2 linked regions of the Rhinolophus ferrumequinum genome follow. The protein of the gene in region 1 purifies or fractionates together with the protein of each later gene. This does not show direct contact. Links are inferred from orthologs where the notes say so. Each region holds a gene or a part of one and is shown in the gene's direction. Other genes may lie near its edges. The genes, in order: MMP2 and COL5A1.

Evidence for each region.
Region 2: the proteins of MMP2 (region 1) and COL5A1 purify together in Homo sapiens (co-immunoprecipitation; 3 studies listed by BioGRID and IntAct, counting the BioPlex papers as one, with this or other methods). This does not show direct contact. The link is inferred for Rhinolophus ferrumequinum from reciprocal best matches to the Homo sapiens genes MMP2 and COL5A1.

What each region holds. Positions count from the first base shown.
Region 1 is NC_046298.1:8,769,106-8,785,155, forward strand, and holds the start of MMP2 (72 kDa type IV collagenase), read left to right. Parts: upstream 1-9,430; 5' UTR 9,431-9,765; coding exon 9,766-9,921; intron 9,922-12,519; coding exon 12,520-12,746; intron 12,747-13,676; coding exon 13,677-13,825; intron 13,826-14,700; coding exon 14,701-14,829; intron 14,830-15,041; coding exon 15,042-15,215; intron 15,216-16,050.
Region 2 is NC_046295.1:81,643,186-81,658,276, forward strand, and holds the start of COL5A1 (collagen alpha-1(V) chain), read left to right. Parts: upstream 1-6,768; 5' UTR 6,769-7,174; coding exon 7,175-7,295; intron 7,296-15,091. UniProt on the Homo sapiens protein: Type V collagen is a member of group I collagen (fibrillar forming collagen). It is a minor connective tissue component of nearly ubiquitous distribution. Type V collagen binds to DNA, heparan sulfate, thrombospondin, heparin, and insulin.

The sequences.
Region 1 (16,050 bases):
TAGTTGTGCAATTGGGACCTGTGACCTTAAGGTTTAACAGGGGCCGCGGCTGTATGAACACAATGGTTTACATTACAATTACCATCTAAACACGTCCAGCGGGCAGGAGGACAGTGCGGGTTTCATAGGTAAACTTGCTGTGCCTTAGCAGCCGCTATGGGGTGCAATTTTTTTTTCTCTTTTTTTAGCCACTTCAGCTTCCATCTGAATTAATATAGTTAGCAGCAGTCCTTGTTGGGTTAGCGGGTAAGCACGTTCCCATAATTGGGGTCTAGTGTTTACACGTAAAATTCCTTTCTCAATATTCCTTTCCCACTAACCTTCTACAGCTTCCTTTGTTCTTCTCAGTTTGTCTCTTATTTTACTCATTCAAAAATCACCAACTTATTAGGACAAACTGCTTCCTTTTAACTTCTCTCAAAAACCCACACATCCCTTTCCTTCCTTCTGTAATAACATTCCTTCTAAATTTCAAGTGAGAAACTATATATATATATATATATATATATATATATATATATATTACAAAAGTTACCTTATATACCTTCAGCAATGATTAATAGTTGAGCTATATAAGAAGAAGTTTTGAGAAAAGCCCAGAGAACAACTATTATTATGACTGATCGTTATTAGCAGACAGGTAAAGACAATCAAACAAATGGTTCTTTAGGTTCAACATCAATTTGTAGGTATGCAGGCCCTCTCCATGTCTTGGGATAGCTGTCTGGCTCTGAGGACAGCAGCTTCTCATCCTTGGGGACTGTTTCATGTCCTGTAGGCAGAGGCGAGCGTCAGAGGCAGGGGCAGATGTCCGTTCGTGGTTAGGCATCTTTTACTTTTGGTGAGAAATGTGAATCTTTGAGTTAACACCTTTAAGTTCAGCTGCACATGGATTAGTTGGTAATACCTGATAAGGTTCCTTCCAACGCGCTTGGAGAGAATCTTTAACTGATGTTTTTTCCAATGGGCAAAAATCTCCTGGTTGTGAGGCATGGTCTTTGAAGTCTTCCTCTCCCGGGAACACAGTGTGAAGTATATCAGTTACTAATTTATCGATTTCTTTAAGCTGGTTGTTAAGTCCTTCGTAATAATGCAGAATGTCTCCTTTTAGTAAGGTTGGTTCGTATGCCCCTTCATCCAGAGGCATAGAGGGACCAGTGACTGTTTAATGAGGAGAAAGGTTATGTTTACCAGAAGGAGTAGGTCTCAGGTGGAGAAGCACTATCGGGAGAGCTTTTGGCCAAGGGAAATCAGAAGGTTCTGAAATGTTACCTAGTTGAGTTTTAATTGTACCACGTGTACATTCCCCCAATCCAGAGGACCGGGGTGACAGGCGTAATGAAAATGCTGTAGAATGGGCCAAATGTTACCGATGGATTGCATCCTTTGCCCAGTGAAATGAGTCCCTCAGTCACTACCCTGTTTCCCTGAAAATAAGACCTAGCCGGACCATCAGCTCTAATGCATCCTTTGGAGCAAAAAAAGTAATATAAGACCCGATCTGATATTATGTTAGATAAGACCTGGTCTTATATTATAGTAAAATAAGACCGGGTCTTACATTAATTTTTGCTCCAAAAGATGCATTAGAGCTGATGGTCCAGCTAGGTCTTATTTTCGGGGAAACACGGTATGTAACTCAGAAGGAATTCCCCAGTTGGAATTTTCTCCCCCAGTAATAATTTATCTCCCATTAAGGCCCTCCTGAAAGAGAATGCCTCAACCCAGTGAGACAACATACAAATCATACTGAATATACAGTTGTATCCTTGAGATGGTGGCATTTGGATAAAATCCAATTACCATACCTCGAATGGACCTAAAGGAAATGGGAAATGTCCTTGGGACCCTTGGAGTGATTTTCCAGGGTTATATTTTGGACAGATAGAACATCTGCTATACACTTTGAGCTACAGTAGGAGAAGGTTTCCAATAATATTCTTTACTCCATGAAATCATCTTTTCAAGACCCCCCATGTGTGAGCTCCTGCACATGTTGAAGTGTAAGGGTATTAAGTCCCTATAAGTAAGATTGCTTTCTGATTGGGGCCAAGCTACATCTGTTTGTCTGGGTCAAAGGCTCCCCCTCTTTGTTGCCGTATCCCCTTTCTTCTTCTGTAGCTGTCTGTTGGAACCCTAAAAGAGAGTCTCTTATTGATTTAATAGAACACAAGGAGCATTCTTGGGTCTGGATAATTTGGCTGCTTATTGCCGCTTGTCTAGCTGTACCATCAGCTAAAGTATTTCCTTTTGCTTCCACAGTGGCAACGTTAGAATGTCCTGGAATTTTGATAATTGCCAATTGTCTCAGTTGCTGCATGCATCTAATAATTTTGCAACCTGTTTTCCATTCTTCATGGGCTGCCCTGAGAAAGTTAAGAAGGCTCGCTGCTTCCACAACATTCCAAAGTTGTGAGTTTCACCACCGGGACCATCAGTGTACACATTAGCTATTTGATCTTGGGCCACTGACAAGCTCAAGTTAGAGGAATTAATTTAGCTTGTTGTGCAGATCTTATTCAGATAAATAAAAACCTTCAGTGATGTCCACCATGGATCTTATTGCATATCCAGCTCAGTAATGTCCCTGTTCATCTTTCAGATCATCTGTAAACCAGATTATGTCAGCATTACTGATAGGCATTTTCGGTAAATCATTCTAGGCGCAAGAAAGGTGGTCAGTAAGCAAAATGCAATCGTGGATGTCTTCATCCTGCAAAGAAGGTAGCAAAGTCGCTAGGTTAAGACTGTTACATCAAGTTAAGGTAGTATTAGGCACAGACAGCAAGAGTGCTTCATAAGAAGCCAGTTGACTGACAGAAGGGTTGAGTGTGATGAAAGAAAGGTCAGTGGGGATTTAACAGAAAGAGGAACATACATAAAGGAGAGCTGATAACTGTTTCTTCTGTTTGTTTGCATAACGTGGCTGTAGCACAGATGGCGGTCATGCAGGGAGGAGTCCCTTTGGCTACTGAGTCTAATTGTTGACTATAATATCCTATAAATCTAAGATGAACTCTATGTTTTTGAGCTAAAACTCCAAAAGCTGTTCCTTTACTTTCATGTAAAAAAGGAAGAAAGTTTATCAGTAAAGTGTCTCAGAGCAGGAGCTTTAGAAAATTTTTCCTTCGGAGCTTTATAGCTTGTTTCTCTTCTGGGTTCCATTGAATTGGATCAGGTTGAACTGATTTTAATAAGACTTATAGAGGATGGGCGATTGCCGAAACATTTAACATCCAACTGTGACAGTAACCAGTCAGACCCAGGAACCCACTAAGCTGCTTTTGTTTCTTTTAGAAAAGGAAAGGAAATTATTCCTCTGAGCCTTTCATGGTTCATTAGGAGCTCATCTTTAGATGTTAGATGACCAAGGTATTTTACTTGGGATAAACAGAGTCAAAGCTTGTCCTTTGAGGCCCTATGTCCCTTTATAGCTAGTAGCTCTTGTAATAGGTAGATAGATTGTATCCTCCTGGGAATCTACTATATCCCAGAACATAAAGTAAATCATCCACATACTGGATTAGAGTGGAATTTCTGGGAAATTCAGTATCATTCAAGTCAGCATTTAGTATTTGAGAGAAATAGGTGGGACTCTCTGTACACCCCTGGGACATTACTGTCCAAGTAAAGCCCCGATCTTCCCAGGTGAAAGCAAAGAGGTCTTTTTTTTTTTTTTTTTTTGACAGGAATGCCGAAAAAGGTAAATCCATCACTGAAAAATATTGGCAATCCACAGGAATAGCTAATAATAGGGTATGTGGATTTGGAACCACAGGATATCTTTATTTATAGCTCTGATGTCCTGTGCAAATCTCCATCCTTTCCCATTGGGTTTCTTTACTGGAAGGTTAGGAGAATTACAGGGGCCCATGCATGGAGTTATAAGCCCCCTTTTTATGTATCTTGTAGAATGGGCTTAATTCCAGCCAGTTCATTAGGTCTTAAAGGATATTGGTGAATATTAGATAGAGGCAAAGTACTGTCAATAGTTATTTTAATAGGAGTGGCTTAGTCTTGCCAATATCTGTACCGGAAAAGGCCCAGAATTGCATTGGAACGTCCTGTAACAAACGTTCAGTCAGTCTCAAGACTAGTTTTCTCTTGTGCAGTTTCCTTTAAAGTCATTATTTTCTCAGTTGGTTCAGTATCTGATTCATTTAGTTCTAAATACTTTTCATCCTTTTGGGAAAAGGATATGTGGGTGTCATCGGTTTCAAGAAAGTCTCACCATATCAGGTGAATTGGGACAGATTTGACTAGTAAAAAATATATGTATGTTACACATAACATTCCCAAGTTGGAAGGGAACAGGTTCTGATTTAAAAACAGACATTGGTTGATCAGATGTCCCTACCATTTGTAAAGACGCTTAGTCCAAGGGCTAGGACAACTCAGTTGGGTAGTGTTAAGAATAGATAAAGTAGCTCCGTACCTACAGTTCTCTTTACCTACATTCTCTTTTTATGGTAATTTCAAAAGTATTTGTAAGGAGAAGGGGAAATGCCCTCTCATAGTCCTTGGAGCAGCCCAATGCTTGCTTCTGTTTCTTTTCTTCTTCTAGATCCCATTTCAGTTTTCTGCAGTCCTTCTTAAGGCAACCTGACTTTTTAAGATAAGAACAGATTCCTCTCTCCCCTTATCTAAGAGACCTCCGGGGAGGTCTGACCTGATTGCTTAATTGCTGGAGCTGTAAGTTCATGATTTTGGCAGCTTTGTATTTTTGTACCTTTTGAATTGTTTTAGATAGTTGATCAGCCAGAATTACCAATTCATTAGTACACGTGGTCAGCCAGTTTAATTTATGCTGTTTAATCAGAGTTCCAGCTCTTCATCTTGTCCTTCCAAAAAGGCCGAATTTATTATATTAAGGGATCATTTTGATGATCCTTAAACTGTCTGGAGACAGACCTGTGTATTGTTTGAACGTTTCTTTGTAAAGTTCAAGGAAATCAAGCCCTGTTTCATCAGGCTCTCTTTTACATTGCTGGATCTTAGTCCTGTCCATTTTCTGGGGCAAAACATCTCAGATATGGCTTGGTAAAGCCACAGGGCTAATTCTCTGCATTTTTCTTGGTCTGTCTCTGTTTTAACAAGTCCTCTATAGGGGCTTCCCAGTGAACCTTATTTACCCAATCTGTTGCTTTCCTCTCAGAAACCAGTAGGTATATTAACTGGAAAAGGTCAGAATAGCCAGGATCATATGTTCTAACAGTTAAATCAAATTCCTTTGCAAACTCATATGGTCCCAGAGAGTGAGGGAAATTTTAAGGTAGAGTCCTTAATTCTGTTCTAGTCAAGGAATGTGTACAATCACTGGTTTTCCTTTGCCTGGCGTTTCTCCAAAGGGAGCTGCCAGAATTTCTGTTGGATTTTGTTTTTTTCCCCTAGTCTACCGTGGTCTGGTTTTCTAGTCTGAGTGTCCCCTAGGTCAATAGAGAGCTCTGGTGAAAGAGGTGGAGGAGAGAGAGAGAAGGGGGAGGGGAAAAGAAAGTCCAGACAACGAAGTAAAGAGCTACAGCGGAGCAGTTGGAGAAGAGAGAAAAGTGGGGCTGTTGGCACTGAGCAGTGTCAGAAACTTTCCTTACTTAAGAGACAGTCTCTAAAATTTCCTTATTAACTTCTTGGAGATAGTATCTCTGTGCTCTGTTTCAGAGGCTTCTATTTGCCAATTGAGGTAAGCCTCCCATTCATTCTTTTTGATTTTAGAGATGGCTTTTTTCTCCTATGGTGCATGCAAAAAAATAATAAGAATAAGAATTTAGGTGTAAAAATAACTCCATTTCGGTCATCTTAAGTTGATATCACTTCTAGTTAAATCTTTTTTCTGTAAGTACTTGCAAGTAGAGTTTCTTTATGAATTGTACATCTACAAGAATATTAATGGGGCTGGAGGCTGGGGGCTTGTTGTCCTGGGAGGCAAAATTTCCCAAGTTCATTTTAGTTTTCTTCTGAGATCTGCAAAGCCTGAACACATTTCTAGGGCTCTTGGGTAGTGGGCTGAAGTGGACTGCTTATGAGCTCCAAGGTGCTGTCACCTCCCGAGTCACTCCAAACTTCCTATGTGTCTCAGCTTCTTTCCATACTATCTAATAAAACTGTGAGGACCCAGAGCGCGCTAGGTAACAAGCTTTTATATGCGTGTCCCAGGGCAGCCAATTGTTTAATTGCAGGGGTGTTGGAATTTCCTATGGGGCCCTGCTCATTTTGAGGACTACCCTCAAACACCTCCACATAGTTTCTTAGTCACCTCGTACCCGAAATTTGAGCTGAAGGGAGTAAGTGCCCCTTATCTTTGGAGCCGAACAAGTTCAGACTCTCATTTATCCAGCAAAAGGTTTTGTTCAGACTCACAGTAAGTAATTTCCGTTGGAAAGCCGAAATTAAAAACCAGCCACCCGGTGGCTCAGGCAGTTGGAGCTTCGTGCTCCTAACTCCGAAGGCTGCAGGTTTGATTCCCACATGGGCTAGTGGGCTCTCAACCACAAGGTTGCTGGTTCGACTCCCTCAAGGGATGGTGGGCTGCACCCCCTACAACTAGCAACGGCAACTGGACCTGGAGCTGAGCTGCACCCTCCACAACTAAAACTGAAAGAACAACAACTTGGAAAAAATCCTGGAAAAATACACACTGTTCCCCGATAAAGTCCTGTTACCCTTCCCCAATAAAATCTTAAAAAAAAAGAAAAAGAAAAGAAACAGCCACCCATTTCTTTTTCTCTGGTCCCTGAGTTATCTCAACCCTTGTCCTTAGCCTGGGTTATTTCAACCCTTAACCTTTAGTGCCACCTTGAGGATTTATTCCCCCCTAAGATCAGCTCAAAGTCAGGGCCTTAAAAAAACTACCTTAAAATAGGGAGGTTCAGAATTCCAAGAAAAACTCACCCAAGGTCACCTAAGGCAAAGTGGGGAGCCCATAGGGCACAGTGGGCCCCTGCTGGTACCGAGCACCGGGTCAGGGTCCACAGGGTAGTCCTGGGTGGGCTTCTTTGGAATCCTGCCAGCTGCACCAAGTAAATGTCAATGAAAGAACACCCAGCCTAAAAAAAAGTTTTATAAGAGTTTATTTGAGCCAAACTGATGACAATTGCTGGGAAGCAAAATCTCAACAGACTGAGAAAATGCTCCAGAGAATGGCAGTTTTGCAGCTTCTTTTACACATTAGAATCAAGGGAGAGGACATAAGGAGGGTTATGTGAAATCCGTTAGTGGTAGATTAACAAGGCGGGAGAAAGCAAAGCAGCGAAATCGCTGGGATTGGATAAAAAGTGAAACGGAGAGAGACACACACTTCTCTTACATCAGTGGATGCAGGATAGTTAATAATTAACATTTGGGGCATGTAGAGATGGTATTCGGGGAATAAGATGATGATGAGGGGTGCTGTGGTCTCTAGATGGTGCATGCAGTTGTGCCGTGAGGGGTCTGGCAGAGATTATGCTGACATTTCAAAAGTATGTTATCTTACAGGCAAAAAGACCAACAGACAGGCTCACTTATGGCAAAGACTGACCTTTGTCAAGGAAGCTACAGGCCTAGGATCTGACTACCTGCCATGACTTGCTTTCAGTTAGAAATTTTTATGTTGATCATCCTATGTGGTTACTTTGGTCTCTGAGTTTGTCGGGCCCGCCGTGCAAGCCTCCGCTGAGCTTGTCAAGTTTAGTGCGTGGCCCCTTTTTCATCCACAGGGGCAAGTGATGTCAATGAGCAAAACTAAGCTGAGTGAGTCACATGCAAGGCAATAGAGAATGGTGGGGACTGTGGCAAACCAAAATGCATGCCTCATCTAAAAGGAATAGCAACTATTTAGCTTCAGCTAATTGTTGCCAGGTGGAAACCGGATTGCCAGAGCTTTGGGAATTTTTAAAAGGATAGCAAAAAGTCAGATTTTGACATCAAGTTTCCCAAGTTTCAAAATGCTGTTCCGACTGGATTCAGCCCACAGGCCACGAGTTTGCAAGCCCTGCTTTAGTGAGACAACTTTTTCCATTTTCACTCCCAGCTCTGGCCTCTCCAACTTGGCTCTCTGACTCTCCACAGGCCATGGACTTGGGCCAAGTGGGGCCCAGACAGGAGGCAACCCCCTCCCCACTGACCTCAGACTCACCCTCCCCAAAACAGCCAAGGCTTCTCCCTAGATCAGGCTGATAGGCCAGCCTCCCTCTTGCAGGACAAAGTCCCTCCCAAGTGGCTCCTTTCACTCTGACCTCTTGTAGGACAGGAGAACATGCCTGCCAGGCAAGCCTGTATTTTGTTTTAAGCCCACTGAGATCCAAGCTGCAGACGGCTTTTACTGATATTAAGATAAAGGCCAGGTTCATCACCACGACCCCCAAAGCCCTCACAGGCAGATTGTTGCTGACCCTTTCAACCCATGATTTTCTTCCTCAAATTGGACCCTGCTGACTGCCAGGCCCATCTCATCACCCTGCCCCCTACCTTTCTCAGATAAAGGGAACTCCCTTCTCCAGTGCATCCTGCTGTGTTTCATCTCTGGACCTTTGTATGTGTTGCCCCAGACTGTGCCTGAAACATCCCTTTCACCGCTCCCAACCCAAACCTTTGTTTTGTAGCTCTTCAGGTCTCAGCTCAGAAGTCACTTCTTCCAGGAAGCCTTCCCTGACCATCTATACTAGTTTAGAGGCTGAGGTAAGGTGTTGCCAGGACCTGCTGGAGATCCCCCATCACAGCTTAGCACTTAATTATTCTTCCTGAGAGAGGGAGGGGACATTCCTGAGAGACAGGTAGCAGGACTTCTGTGTTTCCAAGTGTATATCTATTAGGTTGGTGCAAAAGTCATTGCGGTTTAAAAGGTTAAAAATAATTGCAATAACTGCAAAGACTTGTGCACCAACCTAACAGCACCTAGCATTATGCCTGAGGCCCAGTAAATGCTTAAATATTTGCAGAAGGAAGAAAGAAAAGAGGCAAAGAAGAAAGGCAGGAAGGGAGGAAGGAAAGAAGGGAGGAAGGAGAGTGGGACACTCCAGTTTATCTGTTTCCATCTGTCGCTTTCCATTTTGTCCATCTCTCTCTATCTTCATCTCTAAACATCTACAATCTTTCTCCATCACGTAGCTGACGTCTGCTTCTGACCCTTCCTTTCCATCTCTGACCCGTGTCCCTGGAAGTGCTGACATTCTTGCCCCCCGGGCGTCCTTCCAAGAACCGCCGTTCTCCAATATCGTGAGTCTACAGTGGTCGTGGCAGATGTTTCCCCGCAGGGGGTCTCTTAGGCTTTGTGCCCGGATTGGTGTGTAGGGGTAAAAAGGTCGCGCCCTGCTGCTGCACGCAGAGGCCTGGAGCAGCAGGCGGCAGGGAAAAGAGGCGGAGAAAGGCAAGGAGGATAAAAGAGGAGGGCGAGTGGGGGAGTGGTGCGGAGAGAGGCGGGCCTGAGCGCCCCCCGCCCCCCCCCACCTCCCTACATTGCCAGCGCCCTCCCAGCCCAGCCGGCCACATCTGGCGGCTGCCCTCCCTTGTTTCCGCTGCATCCAGACTTCCTCCGGCAGCGGCTGGAGGCTGCGCATCTGGGGCTTTAAACATACAAAGGGACTCCGGGACCGGCAAGCACAGGCGGTGGTGGCACGGGCCGGGGAGCGGGGGCCGGACCATGCGCGGCTGAGCGGGCAAAGCAGAGGCCGCCGAGTCTAGTGGTCCCTTGGAGCGCAGCGCTGCGCGGCGGAGCAAGCGCCAGCCAGGAGGCGACTCAGCCACACGCGCCGAGCCAGTGACCCCTGGGCGACGTGTGGGCCCGGGAGAGCAATGACCGATGCGCGAGTGGCCCGGGGCGCGCTTGCCGGCCCCCTACGGGCGCTTTGCGTCCTGGGCTGCCTGTTGGGCCGGGCCGCCACCCGGCCATCTCCCATCATCAAGTTCCCCGGAGATGTCGCCCCCAAAACGGACAAAGAGTTGGCTGTGGTGAGTTGCTCCGCGGGCCTCAGCGAGCCAAGTTTATAAAAACTAGGAGGCGGAGGGTGGGGGTCTCCCAGCCATACCTCCTCCCTACCTCTGGGGACAGACAACATGGGGGAGGGGCTTCAGTAAACAGCTCGGTGGGGGTGGGGGTGGGGGTAAAGTCGGCCTGCTGGAGGAGGGATCTGTTTTGGAAACCATAGGGGATCTTTGGTAAGTGGAGAAGGTCTTTGATAAACCACTTGGCAACTTTCAGGACACAGCAGGGAGGAGAGAAACACTCAGGGAAGGGAAGGAGGTGCTTTGGCAAACAGCTGGAAAAGGCCCCTTTTGTAAATAACGGGGACGTTGTATAGTATCTGGGGGATTTGGCAAGGGGGCTGGCTTTGTAAACAACTTTTGGACACATCTGTAGGGTTGGCTAACCAGGCCCTTGGCTAGCCTCTTGGTAGGCCTTTGGCAAAAGGCCTAAAGGGGTCCCTTTTGTAAACGGTGGAGGATCTTTTTAACCCCCTGCAGCACTTTGGGAAGGGGATTCTTTGACGCACAATTTGGATAAACTCTTGCACACGTTAAGTTCGAGTTCCAGGCCAAGCAGGACTTGGCAAACATCTGGTAACCTTTGGCACACATCTGGACAGGGGCCTTGGACAGACCTGCGTGAGGGAACCTTTGGGCAAATATTCAGGGCAGGAAGGAAAAGGAGAGCGCATCTTTTTTGCCTGGCTCAGTGGACAAGTTGGCCTGGAGAGTCAAGGGTTGGACCTCAGAAAGTTTCCTCGAACTTCTGCAAAGAGGTTGGAGGGCAGGAGAGAGGTGGCCAGCGGGGCGGGGATGGAGAGAGGGGCAGGCGCAGGAGGCCTGGCGCGTGGGGCGGGGGCGGTGGAACCCGCGGGTGGGAGAGTGGCCAGCCAGCCCTCCCTCCTGGCGGGGCTCCGAGCTGCGGCTCAGATGTTGTTCTGAGAGGGAGCACGCCTGGCTCCAGGCGCACCCAGGCCTCAGCGGGATTCGGGGGGCAGCGGAAGGGCACTACCCCTCACCCTGTCAGTGCCTCAAGCAGGAGACCCCTCAAAATGTTCCTTCTAGCCCACAAGACATCTGCCCCTTATTGCTTTAACTCCCTAGAAATCCCCTATGCTCCATCAGCCTGATCCCCAACCTGCCCAAGACAGCACTTTTATGCCCCAGGTCACCCTGGGCACCCCTTCTCAGGATGTGACCCCCCCTTTTCCTGCATCTAAGCCTCTGTCCCTTCTGCATAAATGGGTTGGGAGACTTTACATTTTTAGGGGGCTACTTTTCTCACAGGTCTGGAGCTGGCTGGCATTGTGATGTGGCTCTTGGTTGGGGGTGAGGGTAGAATTTTGGAGCATTGACAAAGCTACCTGGGCCCCCACACCTTCCACAGCGTGTGCAAGTCTATGTCGCCTATAGGCCATGCAGTGGGAGGTTTGAGAAGTGGGCTTCAAACGCCGGAGTGCACTCACCAACTGGCCTAGTAAGTGTGGGCAAATGACCACCTCTCAGTCTCAGCTTCTTGTGCAAAGGGAGGATGATAATGATACCTCTTGGACACTTTGAAGTAGCACATGGTAAGCCCTCCATCAGTATTAGTCATTATTGTTATTATTATTATTCTTATACCCTGTATCTTCCCTTTTCTAACTATCCCCCCAAACAAGGTTATGGCCCCTGTAAAAGGGTCTCCTGACTCCTTTCACCTTTCTAATGCAGTACCCAGCACATATTTAATTTTGCATTTATTTCTGGTCCATCAGCCTTCTCCCATTGGGGTTTGAGCCCTACAGACTAGAAACATCTGTTGTGTTCACCAGTTTATCCCAACACTAGCAACAGGCCTAGAACATGGGACATACCAAAAAGTATTTGTTGAACAAATAAATGAGCTGCTTGGTTCCTGACTCTTTGTACGGGCCTGTTTGGTTTTGGCCTTGGTTTTGGCAGAGCCACTGCACAGCCCCTGAAGGACAGGACTATTTTCTTTTTGAAAATGATCATTCCAGGATATGAACCCAGGTCTCTGCGGCTGGAGCCCATGCACATAGCCCCTGAATCTCTCTATAAGAAAAGTGAGAAAAATAATCCTTATGTCATCAGCAGTTAGGTGGATTAAAAGAGGTGATGGAGGTAAAGAAGGGTGGTGGAGCGTTACAGTTCTGATCATGGCGCTGGAGCCAGATTGCTGGGGTCCAAATCCAGCTCTGCCATTTGTGAGCTGTGTGATCTTAGGCTAGTTTCTTAACCTCTCTGTACTTTAGTTTCTTCCTCTGTATGATGGGGAGAGTAATAATAAGTACATTATAGAGTTACTGTGAGCATTACAGTTACGTGCTAGCTTCAGTGCCTAGGCATATAGTAAGCACCCAGTGCATGGTAGCCATGCTCTCTGTGGCTGTTAAGTCTCTCAGCTAGTGGGTGTCAGAGCTGGTTTGGGAACCCAGGACTCCACCTAGTGCCCTGGGGCCCCTGGATTATGTCCTCTCTGAGCTATGGGGCTGGACGGGGGACTAGTTATTGTAGGGCTTTGGTCAGTACTATGCCATCCTAATGTGGCTGCTTGCCTCTGTTGCTCATTTCTTCCAGCAATACCTGAATACCTTCTATGGCTGCCCCAAGGAGAGGTGCAACCTGTTTGTGCTGAAGGACACACTGAAGAAGATGCAGAAGTTCTTTGGACTACCTCAGACAGGTGCCCTTGACCAGCGAACCATCGAGACCATGCGGAAGCCACGCTGCGGGAACCCCGACGTGGCCAACTACAACTTCTTCCCCCGCAAGCCCAAGTGGGACAAGAACCAGATCACGTACAGGTGCCGAGGCAGGGCTGGGGCAGCAGGGCCTCTGGGCTACGGGACACGGGGTTTCCTTGGGCCTCTCCCCACTCCGGGCAGCCAGGAGGTGACTCAGGAGGACTTAGCATCTTAAGAAGTTTGCATACAAAGTTCTTAGGAACCGGAGTCAGACAGACCTGAACTAGAATCTCATACTTACTAGGTGTGGGGCATTGGGCTACTTATTTTTCAGTGCCTTGAGCCTTGGCTTTCCAATCTACAAGATGGGAAACAAAACCTTCCTCATAGGTTGGTTGGGAACGAAGCTAGGTCACATTTCTAAAGGGCTTTCACAGTGTCCAGCATCTAGTAACAGTGTAATACCTGCTAGCCACCATTGTTACTAGATGGGGTCGTTGGTGTCGGTGGAGGGAGCTGGATGATTGGTTGCTAATTGGTTTTATGTTACAGTATAGAGTGGCTATAATTGGCTGTTGATTGAGCTGAGAGCTCTGTTCTGTACAGCTCATGCTGGATTCCAAGGATGAGGTCTCTGCCCTGTGTCCCATATGCACTATTCATGTCCCTGTGTGTCCCCGCAGCCAGAAGTAAGGGATGGGAGTCCTGAGACAGGGCCTGAAGGTGTTGGCTCATCTAGGACTGCACGGAACCTCAAGCCGTTCTGGGCAGGCTGTCCTCCCCGTGAGCTCTGCTCAGCACACGCCGTATACCTGCACAAGCATGGACACTCACAGGCACACACTTGTGCACACTCCAACGCATGCACCCCTCTTGCTTGTGCACACACCCACACACCTGTGCACATACACCCACCCTTGCACACATTCATGCACTCACACAGTTGCATATACACACACTTGCACACATGCATGTATGCTTGCATGCATGTGTATACACATGTTCCTTTGCACACACGTACACACTCATATGCATTTCTCCTACCTCCAGGATCATTGGCTACACGCCTGACCTTGACTCTGAGACGGTGGATGATGCCTTTGCTCGTGCCTTTCAAGTCTGGAGTGATGTGACCCCCCTACGGTTTTCTCGTATCCACGATGGAGAGGCTGACATAATGATTAACTTCGGCCGCTGGGGTAGGAGAGCTGGGGCCAGCAGGGGTTCAGTAAGGAGAGGGGGTGATCTGGCCATTAGAGAGGCACAGGGTCCCGAGGGCAGCTGAACGAGGAGAGTAGGTGTAGACACTGGAGCGGCTTAGATGGTCCATGTGGATGTGAGGGCAGATGACATGACACTGGGCCTTCCCTGGAGGCCGTGTAACCCTGAAAGAAGCAGTCTTCCTGCATGTCCAGCATGGTAGCCCCTAGACACCTAGGGCTATTTACATTTAAGTGAGTTACAATCAAATGAAATGTAGAATTCAGTTTCTCGGTCACACTAGCCACATTGCCAGTGCTCAGGAGCCCTATGGGCCAGTTGTGATGGACTGAAACAGCACAAAGAACATTCCCGTCGTCGCAGAAAGTGCAGTTGGGTGACACTGGGAGACACTGAGGGACTCTAGGTGTGAGAGTGGATCTGAAACAGCGGAGCAGTGTAGACATGAGTGAGTGGAATAGAACCTGGGGTTGGGGGTGTGAACACTGGCTGTAGTGGAGGCACGAGGGTAGGTAATGTAGACATTGTGAGTAGTATAGTGATGTGGGTAAATAGCACAGCACAGAAAAGAGTGTAGACGTGTGGGGGGTGGTATGGACCTGGGTGGCACAGTGGGCTTGGGGGTTGGTGGTACGGATATTCGCGGTGGACTTGCCAGCACAGTGTAGACCTTAGGATGGTAACCATCAAATCAGCAACTCTCTACTGACTTGCTGTGTCCCCGCTTCTGGATAACAGGACAGGGAAGGGGACAGATGCCAGGTGGGCTAAAGCGCTCCAACTGTGGATGGGGTGTGGCTGGGTTTCAGGGCCCAGCTTGGGCAGCTAGTAGCTGAGACCCAGTGTGTTGCAGAGCATGGAGACGGATACCCCTTTGATGGCAAGGATGGACTCCTGGCTCACGCCTTCGCCCCGGGCCCCGGTGTTGGAGGAGACTCCCACTTCGATGATGATGAGATGTGGACCCTGGGAGAAGGGCAAGGTAAGCGAGTGACCACCCACAGGCCTCCTCTCTGGTCCTCTGCATGGCTCCCTGTAGCCTAGTAAAAGGACTGTGCCTTCCTTAGCAATCTCAGGCACCTCCATCTGCTCTGGTGGGACCAGAGAGATGGGAAGGCGAGAGGAGTCGCGCAGAATTCGGGTCTCCCAGGAAAGGCCTGCAGAGACTCACCCCCATCCTGTGTCACCCCTCAGTGGTCCGTGTGAAGTACGGGAATGCTGATGGGGAGTTCTGCAAGTTCCCCTTCCTCTTCAATGGCAAGGAGTACACCAGCTGCACCGACACGGGCCGCAGTGACGGCTTCCTCTGGTGTTCCACCACCTACAACTTCGACAAGGATGGCAAATACGGCTTCTGCCCCCATGAATGTGAGTCCACCTGGCTTCCCACCTCAGACTCTCGCCTTCCCGGGCTCCCTGCTGTCCCCCGCCATCTACACGCCCCAGGTCTGGCACTGCCAGTCAACCAGCATCTCCCCAACTTTCTTCAAATCCCACTGTCCCTCTCACCTGTACAATTATTTATTTAATGTTGTCACTAAATCAATACTGTTTTAAGTGTCACCAGGAACAGTAAGATTTGTGAAATCACAGGTTTGATATGCTAAATATTTTTTTCTGACATACATTAGAATGAACTTAGAACTATTAAAATGCTTAATGGTTTTCTGTACACCCACACTCTCCCCTCCAGCCAGGATTGGGGGCTCAAAAGCATGAGTACAGGCTTGGGATAGGTCAGAAGTCTAGCAGTAGGATCAGGCGTGAGACTCAGACACCAAGGCTGGTTGGTACCCAACCTGGCTTGGGGATACCAACCCCTGGAATTTCAGCCATTACCCCTGGTTCTGATGACAATTCCAGTGGAGTGTGTGTGTGTGTGTGTGTGTGTGCGTGCGCGTGCATGCAAGGGGACAGTTCATCTGCCTCTTTCCGTTGCTGTCTGTCTTTGCTTGTGTCTGCATCTCTCTATCTTGGTAAAGGCATTAGACTTGACTCAATATTTGTGTGTGTGTGTTTGTCAATGCTCAAAGCATAAAATTTTCAAATATTTTGAAACCACATAGAAGGAAAAACATTTTTAAAGATGTAGGGGTATTGACATACACACTCAATTCTTTTTAAAAATATCCTTGACACACTTTATAATCAGAAATCATAAAACGATAGTATGTATAACTTTATACTTGGTCAAGCTGTCATA
Region 2 (15,091 bases), on another chromosome or scaffold:
GCCCTGGCAAAGGACCACAGACAGGGGCCTTAAAACAACCAGAACTTGTTCTGTCCCAGTTCTGAGCTCCAAAGTTCGAGATCAAGGTGTGGGTGGGGCCGTGCTCCCTCAGGAGGCTCTAGGGGAGGGTCTTTCCTTCCTCTCCCAGCTCCTGGGGGCTCAGAATTTCACGGCTTGTGGATGTGTCTCTCCAATCTCTGCCTGGGTCTTCGTATCAGCTTCTTTCTGTTTATTTTTGAATCTCCCTATGTCTTCCTCTTCTAAGGGATGGCATTCAGGGCCCAGCTAAACCACAATGGTCTCCTTATCTCCAGGCCCGTAACTTAAGCACATCTGTGCAGACCCTTTTCCCAAATAAGGTCACATTTACGGGTTCTGGGATTAGAGCCCAGACCTGCCTTTGGGAGCCACTGTCAGCCTCCCACAGCCAGACCTACCTGGGGTCCCCTGACATTAGCTCTGCACCCACTCCTTCCCGGTGCCCCCACCCTGCCCATCAGGCTCTGAGTGTCAACGCAGATCCCACCAGCACCTTTGCCAGCTGGTAGGTGGCACAGGGAGAGCGTGTATCCATGGATCCTGGTTCTGAAGGGATCCTGCCTCCTCCCCTTCGGGGTTCCACAGCCCTGGCGCCCATTCTTAAATGCACTGAGTCTGGATTCTCACCTGCAAATTGGGGGTGTTGTGTTGTGGCGTGAGTGAATAAAGAAGGTCACGGGTGTTAGGCAGCTTCCTGCCCCTCCTTCCCTGCCCTCCTCCTGCTACCCCAAGTCACGTGCATTCTCAACAGCCCGACTCCTGGACTGTGCTCAAAGATTCGGAGGAGTGAATGAATTCGATTTCTGGGTTGGACTTCAGTTAGGAAGACTCATTTTCAATTCAATATTCCCTTTTATTTCCTCTTATGGAAGAAAATCTAATCTGGGAGCTATTTCCATTAAAAATATTGGTTTAATACCAGAAATGAAAACAAATAAAACCGGGCCTTACTGGGAAAAACAGCAATCCCAGACAGTGTCAGCATGCCCGGGCAGTGTGCCGTCACACGCAGGTCCCCATCGAGCTCCCTGTCCTTGTGTCAGCCTGAGCCCTGCCGCTGGGACCAGCTCTTAGGACACGGAGAACACCTCAGGGTTTCTGCATGTGCACGGGGTCGCACACGAGATACCACTGACCCCTTGCTCCAAACCACGGCAGGCTCTGGTGTCTCCTCGGCAGCAGATGTGGGGAGCACGGGGAGACTCCAGGCACAGAGGTCTGTTTTGTTGTGTCCAGGACTATGGTGGGTAAATGGTGGCCCCCTGTGCATGGGACCCATTTGGCAAAAGGGTCTTTGCGGGTGTAATTAAGTGAAGGATCTTGAGATGAAGAGATCATTTTGGATTACCCAGGTATGCCCTAAATGCCATCGCAAGTTTCCTTATAAGAGAAAGGCAGAGGGAGATTAAAGCAGACACACAGAGGAGGGGGCCAGGTGGAGACAGCAGAGGCTGGAGTGATGTGGCCACAGCTCAGGACCACCTGGGGCCCCAGGAGCCGGCAGAGGCAGGAAGGACCGTCGTCGCTCAGGGCCCCTGGTGGGAGCATAACCCTGGTGACACCTGGATTTCAGACTTCTGGCCTCCAGAACTGAGAGAGAATCAATTTCTATGGTTTTAGTCATCCAGCTGTTTCAGCAGCCCCAGGACACCAACACAAGGCCCCAGATGAAGTTGGCACGGCCACAGACTGGAGCTTTTTAAAACTTAAGCATGGCTGTTTCGGAGAATGGGCGGGCGTGTCCATGCATTGGAGTGGCTTCCCCTGGACAGGGAGGGGCCGAGGAACTCAGCTATGGCCATCAGTAGCCAACACTTCTGCAGGGGCACCTGAGAGTCCAGGTCCCGAAGGGGGTCCAGGAGGCCCGGCAGCATTCACTGCAGATGGGATCAGGGCCCTGTCACCTTTATGAGACATTCTTCTGCAGTTTACACAGTATTTCTGCCACATCACCTCCATCTGCGCTCACAGACCTGAGAGGGGCAGGGAGTGCGGTGGCCTGTGGAAACCACTGCTCAGATGGGGCCTGGGTGCCCACAACACCTCCACCTACTGGCTAACCCTCTGAGGTTTGGTGAAGCAGAGGGAACGAGATGGATGGAGCATTTCCTGAGCACATGCTCTACGCCTGGAACAGCCCACGAGCCTTTGCAAATAATACGCACATAACCTATGAAGGAAGGCTCTCCTGGCCCCATTTTCCAGGTGAGAAGCTGGGGTCAGAAGGCCCTTTGCTCTGGGTTCTGTGGACGTTCCACCCTAAGTGGGAGTCACATGCCAGCCGGTGGGGAGGATCCAACGAGATCCTGATGTTGGGTGCCAGCACATACACCCTAAAACTGCTATTTGAATCCGGGGAGCAGCCTGCTGACCTCTGGGCAGCTCTCTCCACCTACACAGGTGGTTCCTTACAACAAGGATTTTTCCAACTGACGTTTTTCCTGAGCTGCAAACTCAACTTTGTCTGTCAAACATTCTCCTGGCGGTAAGTGCCCAGCTCGCCCCAGGCTGGGAGACGTGTGACCCCACGGCGCTGAATAATTGCAAAGTTCCCCTACAGTCAGATTGGTGTCCGTCATGGGCCACTTTGTCTGGAAATCCCATTACTTGGCAAGTTTATTGGGCCCCTGGTGGGAACACTGAGGTTCAGGAAAGCAGCCTTTGTGGGCTGACACAGAAACAAACCTGTTCGCGGACCAGGGAGACGGCCAGGCACACGAGGGATGGTCGGGCTGCCTTACCCGTCACGGTGGCTGGTCACCGGCTCTGTGATTTATGCTGCCTTGTCCCTGCACCCCAGGGGGGTGGCCCCTTGGCCCTCGAGAGCCCTGCTTCCTGAATTCCGGGGACGCTCTGCAGCCATGATAAGGACTGCAGCCGCCTGGTACATGTGTGTGCTTGGTCGGAATGACGCCGCCAGCCCACTCTCGACTGGTCTTGTGCAGGGCTGATGGGCCTGGTACCTCCCTGTCCTGGCTGTGAGCTCTGGGGGGACAAGCAGCTCCTTTGCTGGGTTCGGCGTTGGGGAGACTGGGGGTGGAAGAGCCTTCATGTCATGGAGTTCTGGAGGTGTCGACGTAGGTGGGGGGCTCCATGGGTCAAGAATTTCAGATGGACTCATGGGGCCCTGGAGTTAAGTGTGACGCCCAGGACCAGAGCACATGGCCCTGACTTCCTGTGTCGTGCCCGGTCTTTCCAGCATAGCCCCATGAGCTCCCCGTCACTAACTGAACCTTCATCTAGCACAGACAGTGGGCCGGGCCCCAGATGCCGAGATCAGGCCCAGGGGCCGCCCTGCTGGAGGTGGACGGAGACACGAACACGACCCCACGTGACCACACAGCGTTTAGGCCCGGCTCCCACCCTCAGGGATGTGTGAACAGCGGTCACAAAGACTGTCCATTCCTCTGCACACCCTGGGCGGCTAGACTGGGCGCTCGAGACGCAGGCCTGGGGTACCTCCTTCCCAGAAGGGAAGCACGTGGCTATGGGCAGTGAGGGAGCTAGGAGTGGGAGACAGCTATATCTCAGCCTGTGTCCTGCCCCTCACCTGTGCCCACGCAGTGTGAACGCGGCCACAGACCACACACTCAGCTCCATGTGCCAAAGAAGCGAGGTTATTGGCCAGGCTGGATGAGCAGCCAGGGCAAGATGCCGTCACAGGTCCCTCCCTCTGGACATTGTCCCACCCCACACTCTCAGGGCCTCCTTGGGGCCCCAGTGGCCCATGAGCTTTTGGAGGGCAAGCAGACACCTTAGTTCTCCGCCTTCTCTGCTGGCTGTGAGCTCCCACCTGTGAGGGGGTTGGAGGGAAGGAACCCGCAGCCTTGGAGGGAGAGCACCCCTGGGAAGGGCTGGCCATTTCCAGCCCCACAGTGACTCTGGGAGCTGGGTGGCCCCTTAAGATGGGAGGGTGGGCAAAGAAACATAAACCCAAGAGGGCAGCACTTGGTATTTGTCATGGGTGGTCTGTCGAGAGCCACAACTCTGCTGCCTAAAAATAAGGGAGAAGACTTGCAACAATGGAAAGGGAAGCTGGGCAGTGAGATCGCAGGTGCAAAGCTCGGCCTCACCTGGTCCCGGGGAAACGTACAGCAATGGGCGGTGGCGCTTGTAGTAGGCCAGGGGTGTACAGCGCCCTGGACCACAGGGGGTCCCCTCCCTGGAGGAGTGACGTGTATATATGTGGGTGGGCTGGACTGGACCCTGGCGTTAATTACAGAAGATGAGGAAAGCACACCTGCAAATAAGCAGCCACACCTCACACAGGTGTCAGCATCATTGCGGCCCTTCTGCAAGGGGCCAGGTGTCATGCTCACTGCACACCCCCTAGAGCCGAGAACAGAATAAACAGTTTTCAAAGGACCCGCTGTTTTAATCATTTGCAAGGGGGTGGAGGGGGCAGTGACGCTGCCTTTGGGTTCAGCCTCCACCGTCACCACTGGGCAAGGCGGTCAGCATCTTTCCCACCCAGAGGCAAACCAGAGTTCCGATCCTGGCTCGACCACAGGTGAGCTGATACTTTGGGTGAGCTCCTTACCCTCTCTGATCCCTCATCGGTAAAGGGGACAAATGCGATCATTCCCCAGTGTTGTGTGTAACCTGATTAAGTGTGGGTTTAAAGTGGAGACAAGGGCTCAACACAGCGGAGCCCTGACACATGGCTGATACGCACTGCTGCCCCCAGAATTCCAGTCATCTCCTGCAGTCGGGCTGCCCAGTTTGGGGGCTTTTCTCGGAGTTTTCTGGTGGGATAGAAACTTGCCTCTCTCTCCAGGCTTGGATGAAGTAGAAACACATGTCTATCAGCCCACCTGATCCCTTTCTCCCCAAGAGAGGGTAAAAGGTAAATGTCCTATCTGCTCACAGCCGTGAGAAGTTAAGTCTTCTTACTGAGAGGTCAGTTCTTTGGGGGCCCCTGGGTGGTCACCTGATTTCCAGCTCCTGAGGGACCAGCTGTGCTAACCCAGGCCAAAGCTCAGACACCCATTCTGAGTTCCAGATGTTGGGAGGGCTGGCTGATTGGCACAGAGGCACAGGTGACTGTCAGAGGGGATCCACGTGTCCTTGGGGAAAAGCAGGAACCCCGAAAGTCTGTGCTATCTTCTGATAGCCAGGCCACTGACTTCTGTCAGTACCCCCAAGTCTTCAGGAGAGAAGCTGGCCTTCCCACTGGTGGGGGGCATTCTGGGGGTCAGGCGAGGCTGCTGGGGGCGGGCTCAGGGAGTGTCAGGTGGGACTTCTCTGTCATGAAGCCACACAGGAGAGTGAAGAACCAGCAGCTCTAACTGGAACCCCCCCGACACACGCACACCTCACACAAACACTTACACATGCACACAACTCAAACACACACATTTCCCCTGATCACATATATGACTTATACGCATTGTGAGAACAAAATCCAATCACAAAGAAACATGGAAACTGAAAGAACATTTTGCTTTACTTAGCGTATCTCAAGCTCCTCACGTCTGTGTGCAGACCCTCCTCTCGTTCTGGTCTGGGCAATACGATACCTAGTGAGTACACGAGGCAAAGATGGAGCCCGACCTAACAGTTAGCACCAGGGACCCAACTCCAGGGGCCCCCCCGCAAACCGAACCTCTGACCCCCCCTCCACTCCCCTCCCGGCCTGTTTCCAGAGTGAGGGGAATTAAGGGGCATTTGAGGAATTTCATGCCCAGTGTAGGGGTGTAACTGGAGACAGGGAGGTGGGGATCCCAGCCCTGTTTCAGCATTACTGGCTGGATTGTTTGTTCAAAGGAGAAGGGATGGCTTACGGTTTGAAAAGCCCTCTTAATTCACCTTCATGCCTCTGCTTTTTAAAACCCAGCGCTGCAGCTCTCCCAGAAGGGCGCTGAACTGGGAGTTCAACAGGCTGTGCCAAGAGGCTGTTTGGGCCTCAAGAGCCTGACAGGAGGGGCTCCCACATACTGCGAGGAGCCTGGCTGGCCTGGGCTGGAGGGGGACCTCACCAGGCCTCAGACAAGTCAAAGACGTGAAGGCAGAAAGGCAGGCCCCAGTAGCAGGCCCCAGGGATCACACAACCCTTATTCCCTTGCCTGCTGTCAGCTCCCAAAGGGACTTCCAGGGAGTAGGCTGAAGTAAGGAGGGGAGAACGGGGTGCCTGGCCCAACTTTGCCTGATGTGCAACACGCAAGCTCCTTTGGGGACTCCTTGGGAAGTTAGACCCTAATTTGACCAGGACGCCCAATCTGCATTTAGGGGGAAGGCAAGGGCGGGTCCTCCGTCAGGGCTGCAGTCTTGGGCGCCGCGATCTGGCGGGATTGGAAGTTCAGTCTCCACCCAGAAGAGGGGCTCTGAACTCCTCCACGTAAAAGAAAAGTTAGGCGGGGTGAGCTGCAACTTTTTCCTTTTAGCCCGAAGGCATCAAACTCCGGGCCCCTCCACACTGGCTCCTGGGTCTCGGCCAGGTGCGGGCACCTGGGGCGGGAAAAGTAGGGCCCCGGGTGGGCTCCTAGGCTCCGAGGCCGCCCCCTCGCCCCTCAGCGCGCGCCCGCCGAGACATTAGGGGCGCCGCGCCCGCCCCACGTCTGCTCCCGCCCCGGGCCAGCCCCTTCCTCGCAGCGACTCGCCCACTGTCCCCACCCCCTCGCCCCCGGCGCCCAGTGGGAGGCGGGGGCCGGCCTGGCCGAGCCCAGCGCCGGGCTCTGATTTGCTGCAGGCGTTTGGGATCGACAGCCTCCGCGGGTGCCTTCCAGGAGAGAGGGAGGGAGGAACCTGGGAAAAAAGTGCTCGGCGCCCAAGGCGAGGTCCGCACTCCTCGTCCCGGCGGTTGGTGCAGGACCTCACTCGAGCAGAGCGCCCACGGGGAGCGGGTCGCGGGGCGGCGGCGGCCAGGGGAGGCGAGCAGGAGTTGGAGGAGTTGGAGGAGGCGAGAGCGAGCGAGCCGAGCGGGGTCCCGGCCGCCCCGCGGGCCAAGGTCGAGCCCTCCTGCCCGTGGGCGAGCGCACCCGCAGACCCGTCCCGGAGAGCCGCTGCCACAAAGAGAACGGGCCGGCGCCTGCTCCCCATGACTTCCTGAGGTCGTGCCGGCCCCGCTGAGTCCGCTGCCCGGGCCGAGCCCGCGCCCCCGAGCGTCCCTGCGCGCCCCGACCCGTGCCCAGCCGGCATGGATGTCCACACCCGCTGGAAAGCGCGTAGCCCGCTCCGCCAGGGCGCCCCGCTGCTGTCCCCGCCGCTGCTGTTGGTGCTGCTGCTGCTGCTGTGGGCACCGCCTCCGAGCCGCGCAGGTAAGGGCGCTCGAGCGCGGGGGCGCGCGGGGCGCTGGCGGGGCTGCGGGACGGGACGCGGGCCGGGCGCGGCTGTCACCTCGGCGCCGGCTGCCGGCCTCTCCCGCGCCTGCACGGCGTTTCCCCTTGGCTCTGGAATGCACGGGCCGAGACTCCGAATGCCATTAGTTGGGGGCCCTGGAGAGGGAGACTCGCCAGCACAATGCCCCGCGCGCCAAACGTGCCGACCGGGTGGGGCTGTCGCGGGAACCCGGGAAGCGCTGAGTGTGGGATCAGCCAGAGGGCTGTCCTCGAGGCCGGCAAACTTTTGTCCTGAAACTTTGCGTTCTCTTACATCTCAGCTCTGGCCCAGCCGGCACAGCCCTGCGGCAGAACTTCCTCTCCTGAAAACCGGGAAGGGTCGCCCCCTAGAGCCACAGCCCATCAAATCGGGCAGGGACTGGAGGCGGGGGGAGGAGGGGTACTGGGGGGAATCCCAGAAGCTTGAGCCCCCGGCCCTGCGTTTGCCCCCGAGCGCACTCTCCCTCTGCCTCTAGACTGGGCTGGCTCTTCACCTCCCCAGGGAACAGGGCTTCTTGCAGCCACCTAAGTGCAAGTAGTACGGGGGAGCCCTGGAGGATGGTCCAGCAGCCTTGCTCCTAATCCCACCCCAAACCCCCTGACTTCCTGGGAGGCAGTTTTTCCTGCGTTTGCTGCCCAGAGATGGGTTCCTGGAGCAAAGCAGGAGATGGTGTTAAAACTGTGAGAGGTTTAGACGCGATGTACAGATGTGGGACTCCTGCTAGAGGTCTGCCTTTAGAAGGAGCCCTCTCCGGTGGGAGCTGGCACTGACCGAATGCCTGCCTGGATTGGTGGCAGCTCTGAGCCAGCTTTCTGATGGGACAGTGGCTTTCTAAGCATCACCTTTGGTGGTTACCTGTGGGAGGGGTCTTCACACACCCTCAGACAATGGAGCCCAAGGCCCGGAAAGTCCCCTGAGTCCCCATTACCAGGTGGGGAGACCAGGCTCAGAGCTGCTGGTGCAAAGTCAGAGGAAGTGACAGGCAGTGGGCTCAGTGGACAGCTGCCGTCCTGTGAGAAGGCACCACTTCACTGCCCCCCGCTTCTCTCTTCCACTTCCTAATTTGAAGACATGTGGGAAGAATCACTTTCCATATTTCACTGGCCAATCAATTAAGATAGTCTTTCCCTTCTTCCTGGCACAATGAGTGCTTGTTGGGCCAAGGAGGGTGAGCAGGAATCTGGGTGTCCTGCACCTCAGGGGCTGGGGGAGGGGAGGGGAGCCTGTGTGGCTTGGGGACTGGGACTGGGGTCTTCCCCCTGGGTGGCCACCATCGTGCCCTCAAGCCTGGGCTGGCTGGCTCTGTGTTTCTCCCCGGCTCAGGTGAAGGTGGGGGACACTAGAGGCCTCACTGGAAAGTGGTGTGCAGCGGGGTGGGGGATGTGGCATGGGACCCCATGGTCACCCAGGGACTTAGTTCTGTCCCAGCTCCTCTGACGGGCTTTCTCCCAGAAACTCGAGAGGGAACCCTTCAATGGGGTCACCACCCCAAAAGCTGGGGCTGGGCTCTGGCTGGGCAGCGTGCAGAGCATGTGTTTGCTCCCCGTCTCTGCCTCCCGCCCCTGTCCCCTGCTTTTGCTCTGATTTCCCTTCCTACTTGAGGGCGGCCTGTGGGAGTCGAAGCCTGGAGGTGGACCCAGCTCCTGGTGGAGCTGGACATTTTGCTTTCGTCAAAGAGACGTTAGAAGCATGTGAAGAAGCCACTTCTCTGGTGGGTTCCACAGACCTCTCTCCACCCACTGCCTAGGGTGGGACCATTTTGGAGTCATCCTCCAGTGCCTGGCTGTGCACTTGAGATGCAGGGAGGCGGGAGAGGTCATCAGCCAGCGCCTTTCCTTCTCTCCATTTTGGGGTGTACCAGATGTTTTCCGAGTTTCTCTGAACATGGCTCTTTTTCCTACCTTCTTCATGGCCAAGTGTGTGAAGGATTGAAAAGTAAGATTGCATTTGGGGCCGTTTAACATTGTAACGGGCAAAGGAGAGTATGTGAAATGAAACATGACCCCGATATTTGGAAATTGAGGTCATCTCCTCTGCATGTCATTGGTTGGCCCCGGTCATGTGATTGCTTTTTGCAATCATTTGTGGGAAGAGTCGTCCAAGTTTGGTGGGACTTGACCGAGATCAAATGGTTAAATTGCCTCTGACTCAATCAAGTTGGCTGGAAAGACATCCTTTCCATCCTGCTCCCTCTTCCCCCCCATAAAAGAACAGTCAGTGGGAGGAGTTCAGAAGCCAAACTGATTCCCAGAGCTCTGCCTCATCGGCTCCAGATTTCAGTGGCTGGAGGGGCTGGAGCTGTGGTCACTGCCCAGCAGCTGTGACCACCCAGCAGTAGCCGTGGACAGCAGATTCTTCCCCTTGCCAAGGCACAAAGTCCCTTCTCGGGCGATGTTGCTCCTGAGCTGTTCCTGGGGTGCTGGCCAGAGCCTGCCCCGTTACCCCACCCTTCAGATATTTCTGGATTCTCACCACAGCCACACCTTAGCTGAGCACAGCTGATGCCAGCCTGCCCTGCCCCTGCCTTCAAGCTGTCTGGCCCAGTCTCCCATTGTCCCTGCCTGGGTCACAGACACTGTTGGGTGGAGCAGAGGGGTGTGGGGAACAGACACCCGCTGGCCCCCTAACCCCCACTTAATAACAGTGACAGTGCAGGCCGACTAGCTTGGAGGTCCTGGAGGGTCAAGGATGAGTCACCCGGACCCCTGAGGCCCTGTTGCTGCACCCACACTGGGTCCCTGGGTTTGCACAGAAGGGCAGAGCAGGGTTCCCGCCTCCCTGTGAGACCGTCACACGGTAAGGATTGTAAGGGATTTGCTGGCACTTACCTGGCCTGTGCTATGCCCTGTGTCCACATTATCTCACTGGACCCTCACACAGGCCTGAACAGTAAGGGAGGGACTGATTGATGCTCTGAGAGGCCCAGGAAGTGGGGAGCAGGGACCCCAGATTCTGGGTCTGTCTGACTTCTGTGCCTGGGCCCTGAGTGAGCTGCTCTGTCCTCCTCTGTGGCACGGCCACGCCTCGGCGCCTTTGACTTCTTGGAGTTCTATGTCTGTTTATCATCAGCTTTCGCCTGGGAGAGGCCCAGCGCCCTGAGCTGCAGTCCAGGCCTGGGGGCCTAGCCCAAAGGTGGCCCCCGGATGAGGGAGGTGTTCCATTTGGCCAGCACAGTGTTTCAGTTTCCTCCTTTGCTCCCTGCCTCCTTCCCTGTTTTCCTTCCTTCCTTTCTCTCTCCCCTACTCCTCTCTGTCCCTCTTCCCTTCCTTCCCCCCCTCCTTACTCTCCTCTCTCTTTCCTTCGCTCCCTCTCCTTCTCTCTCTCTCACCTGCCTTCCTCCTTCCCTCCCTCCCTCCTTTTTTAAATGGAAAGCCATCAAAGGTGACCAGTTGCCTGCAGTCTTCACCATTCCTTGTCCTTAACCAGGCCCTTCTCTCAGCCTATGACCTGCTGGCCCCTGAAGGCTTTTTGCCTTTCTGCCCTGGTCTGGAGGGTTACAGAAGGACAGAGGTGAAGGTGGCAGTCTCCACTGCAGGAGCTTGTAGTCTGATGGGAGGCACACACGTGGACACTGTTCATTTCACTGTTCATTTTCAGGCCGAGTGTCCTTTCAAACAGTCTGAGAGGGTTGACTCCATTGGGGAGGTCTGGGGACTCTTCCTGGAGGAGGCCTTTCCCCTCCTCTCCTTCCCTGTGCTTTCTTCCCAGAAATGCACTGAGTGTCTCCGCAGCAGCTGCCCTCATCCACCTCTGGTTCTAGCCTGGTCCTCCCTCCTTCCTGGCAGGACGTTCCAGACCCTGCTGCGGTGTTCACCTGGGCTGGGCTGCTTCCCTTGGCTGGAAAGCCCCTTATTAACTTGGTTGGCGGGGTGCCCCCAGCAGCAGGCCTGTCCCCGGAGTGCTGTGCCAGCTGAGAAAGAGGGAGCATCCGAGGGGGAGTGAGAGGGAGAGCTGGGGGGCCCTTAACCCTTTCTCCTCTCTGCACGAGGCCAGGCAGTTCTGCAGACAGACTGACAGATGCTGCAGCCTTGTCTGGGGGTGTGCGGGCACCGGTGCTGGGTGACAGGCCATTGGGTGTGGGAGGAGACAGTCCTCGGCAATCAGATTGTTGAACCCGGGGGCAGTGTGGGCAGTTGAGAAATCAGGGCAAACTGAGTTTCTTTTCGTCTGAGAGATGCTCAGGTTGGCTGGGCTGGGGTCAGTCACTGGGCCTCAGTTTTCCCCTCTGGAAAATGGGGCAGATTGCGTTGTTCACTTTGAGGGGTGGTTGTGAAGATGGAGGCGTTGCATGGAGGAGCGTGTGGAGCGTCCGGTGTGTATTGAGCTCCTGACTGCTATGTTTGGTGGCATTTTCTGAAAGGAGAAAGCATAGCGTTGCCACAGTCTCCTCTCCATGCAAGTATTCCAGAGGAAGCATAGTAGGGGGAGGTGTGTCTGTCCACGGAGGCTTCTGTCCCCAGTGTGACCCCAAGGGCTCCGCCATCCATGAGCTGAATCAGCCTTGGACGAGCTGATCGTCTTTGGTCTGCTTGGTGGGTCCACTTCCCCATGGGGGTCCTTGTACAGATCACACAAGGCAATACTTGCAGAAATGCTTTACAGGTCCATTTGAGCTTGTACACGCATGTGTGTGTTTGTATGTGTGTGTCAGAGTGTGTGCATGTGTGATGTGTCCAGGTGTGTGTTTGTGAGTGTACATGCGTGTATAAGCATGCTTGGGCACACGTGTTTACACGGTCCCCCGAGGTGCTCCTGCATGCAGGGCCTGGCGGCAAGGCGACATTTCTCCCCTTACATGCCCTCCCACTGCCAAATGGGCAATGTGGAGATGAACTGTGGCCACGGAGGCTGCTGGGCCAGGAGGCCGTGGGTCCCACCACAGGGCAAGCAGGGCCAGCTGGATCCGGTAATTGGACAAGTCTTTTTTTACTCGCAGGAGGGCGACGTTACATTATAGCTTCTGCTTTCCCCGCTATTTATATTCTCTCATGTAATCCAATCAGCTGATGTCAGCACTTTGCCACATGTTAAGTTCAAAGATTTCTGGTCCAGCTGGAGATCCCGAGATCCTGAAGGTGGGGCCAGCTTTGGCTCTTCTCATGGGCACAACATGAAGACCAGGGCGAGGGCGTGCGGTGTTGGTGAGGGCCAGGCGGCCTGATTCACATCCTGGCTGCACTCCTGCCAGCTGTGCATGTGACTTCCCATGCCTTGGTTTCCCTACCTATAAAAATGGGTGATGATTGTGACTCCTGCAGGATTTTTTGAGGGTTCATTGCATAACATGTACGAAGCACAGAGCAAACCCCATTTGTCACTGTTTTGTCCTTCCTGGACCCCAAGCAGCACAAGGCAGGGGCCTGGGGTCAGGCACCGAGTTCCTGGCTCTCTGCTCACTGGCTAGCCATGTGAGTGGCTCCCTGTCTCTCGCAAACTATCCCTCTAGTGCAGGGGTGTCCAAACTGCGGCCCGCGGGCCAACTGCAGCCCGCAATCCATTTTTAATGGGCCCGCAGCAAATTCCAAAAATATATTTAGTGTACTTAAACAAACCAGGTGAGGCAACACGTACTTTACCTCGAGCGAGTGGCCCGGCTGTTTGTGTGTTTTACCACATAGGGCCCTTGCCTTGGTAAAAAACGTTGAAAAACGCTTGGACACCCCTGTTCTAGTGCCTACCTCACAGGGTAAGCATGAAAAGAGGTGACACAGTGTCCCCTGGTGAGTTTATTGGGTCACTCGTGGTGACTTCTGTGGTTCTGAGCTCAGGCGTGGACGCGTGTCCTTGGGCGGTCGTGGGCGCGCCATGTTCCCCTTGTCCCACCCTGTCCTCGTCGGGCCACCCCACTTTACAAGGAGGATTTGGGGTACAGATATGGGAGGGGACCTGCCTACCTCCCACCTCGGGGACTCTAGTCTTCTGTCTCTGGGACACGACGAGGGTGATGGCTGATGCGCTGCCAGGCGGTGTTGCGGGGTCGGCACAGGGGGGCCTCTGCCAGCCCACAGGCCGCTTCTGCGCCAGCCCAGCCACAGGTGGCTGGCGAGAGGTTTATAGAGTGAATGAACACGCAGTGGGGTGCATGCGGATGTGTGGTGGGGGTGATGGGGTCCTTTTGTGTGATATACATCACGTGATCTGAGCTGTCATTTCATCAGCTTTGACTCATCGGGTAGTTTTTTCTGGCAGATTCCCAACCTAAGTAACAACCCCACACTCAGAGTAAATGTTGCCACTCTGGTGACTCAGACCTAAGAAATGGAACCGCAGTCTGACCCACTTGTCTCCAGATTTCATTACACAGAGCTCCAGGGGCAGCCGCCATGTCTCTGTGCATGAAATGGGGGAGGGGGGTTCCTCTACTTTGCTTTCTAAACCTGTGTTCTTTTGGTGAAATTTACTCTTCTGTCCTGTTCTTTCCTGCCAGCACCTTGGGAAAAGGGATTCTAATGACATCTTTATTTTTTTAAATAAGTGCCACAAAATAACATCAAAATGTGTGTATGATTTAGCTGATTTAAATGAGCATGATTTAGTTGTAAAATCTCTGATCCTTGCATTGGAAAAATAATGATCTCACAATGAAAAAGAGTTTTAACCTCAATGAAAGGTGGGAGCGATTGTTTCCCCTTCGGCCAGCGGGTTACCGCGAGAGGCACTGTATGTGAGCCCAGCTTCCAGGAGTTTCTTTCCTGTAGAGGGTTCCAGAGGGAACTCAGGAAATGCTGGCCCTCTTGTGGGAACCCGGAAATGACAGAGGCTATGTTTGAAGCGTTTGTGGACCTCCACCTCAAATCAGACCTGTGCCAGGCATGAGACAGCAGGTACACAGGTGAGCAATAGGGGAACTGTCCTGTGCTTCCAGTGCACTGAGCAAATCAGACCCCTGAACAGGTGATTGTATCCAGAGAAGTGCAAAGTGGGAGGTAGGGAAACATTCACCAGCAGGAGGGCACGTCACTGGCCAATCAGAGGAAACCATTGGCCAATCAGAGGTAGGCACCTCCCACCAAAGGGGCGCTGGTCAATCAGAGGGAGGTACTTGCCAGCACCAATGCGGCACTGGCCAAGTGAGATCAGCCTGCTTTGCTAGGGCCTGTGGCTTTTGGGGTCCCCCCAGGTGAGTTTGAAGGGACTATCCCTTGGTGGATGACACTTTCCCGTGTGTGTCCTTTTTCTGGCTCCTGTGCATATTTAGCCAGACTGGCTCTGGGGTATTTATCTGTGGAACACCCGTGATCCTCACACTAGCCTTGGACCAGGTGGCGTTGGTCCCATCCTGCAGATGTGTAATGGAGGCTCTGTGAGCCCAGCTGGCACGAAGGAAAGACAGTTGCTTTCCACATCCCAGTGGAAAAGCACACCCCCATTTTGGTATAGGTCTTTACTGTCATACATACTGATGCAAGATGCTGTCTCAGCCAGGCGAGAATGGCTTCAGCTTTTGTTTGCAGTGGGGGCATCCCAGGGCAGCCAGTGGCCTGTGCTTCAAAAAGAGGTGCATGCCTTCCCCTCTTACCACCTCCCCACCCCCACCGTCAACGTCAACGGTGAGCAGCCTTGGAGCCTCTGCCTCAGTTTCTCCTTCTTCATTTCTGATACATAAAAAGGTGCAATCGGAGTGTGGTGGGTTTGTCTTTTCCACTGTGGTTTTGTCTTGCTAATCATTAAAGCCTTTTTCTTTGGGGAGGGGGGCAGTGGGACAGCTGTGTGCTAAGTGAGTATCTGGGGCCCT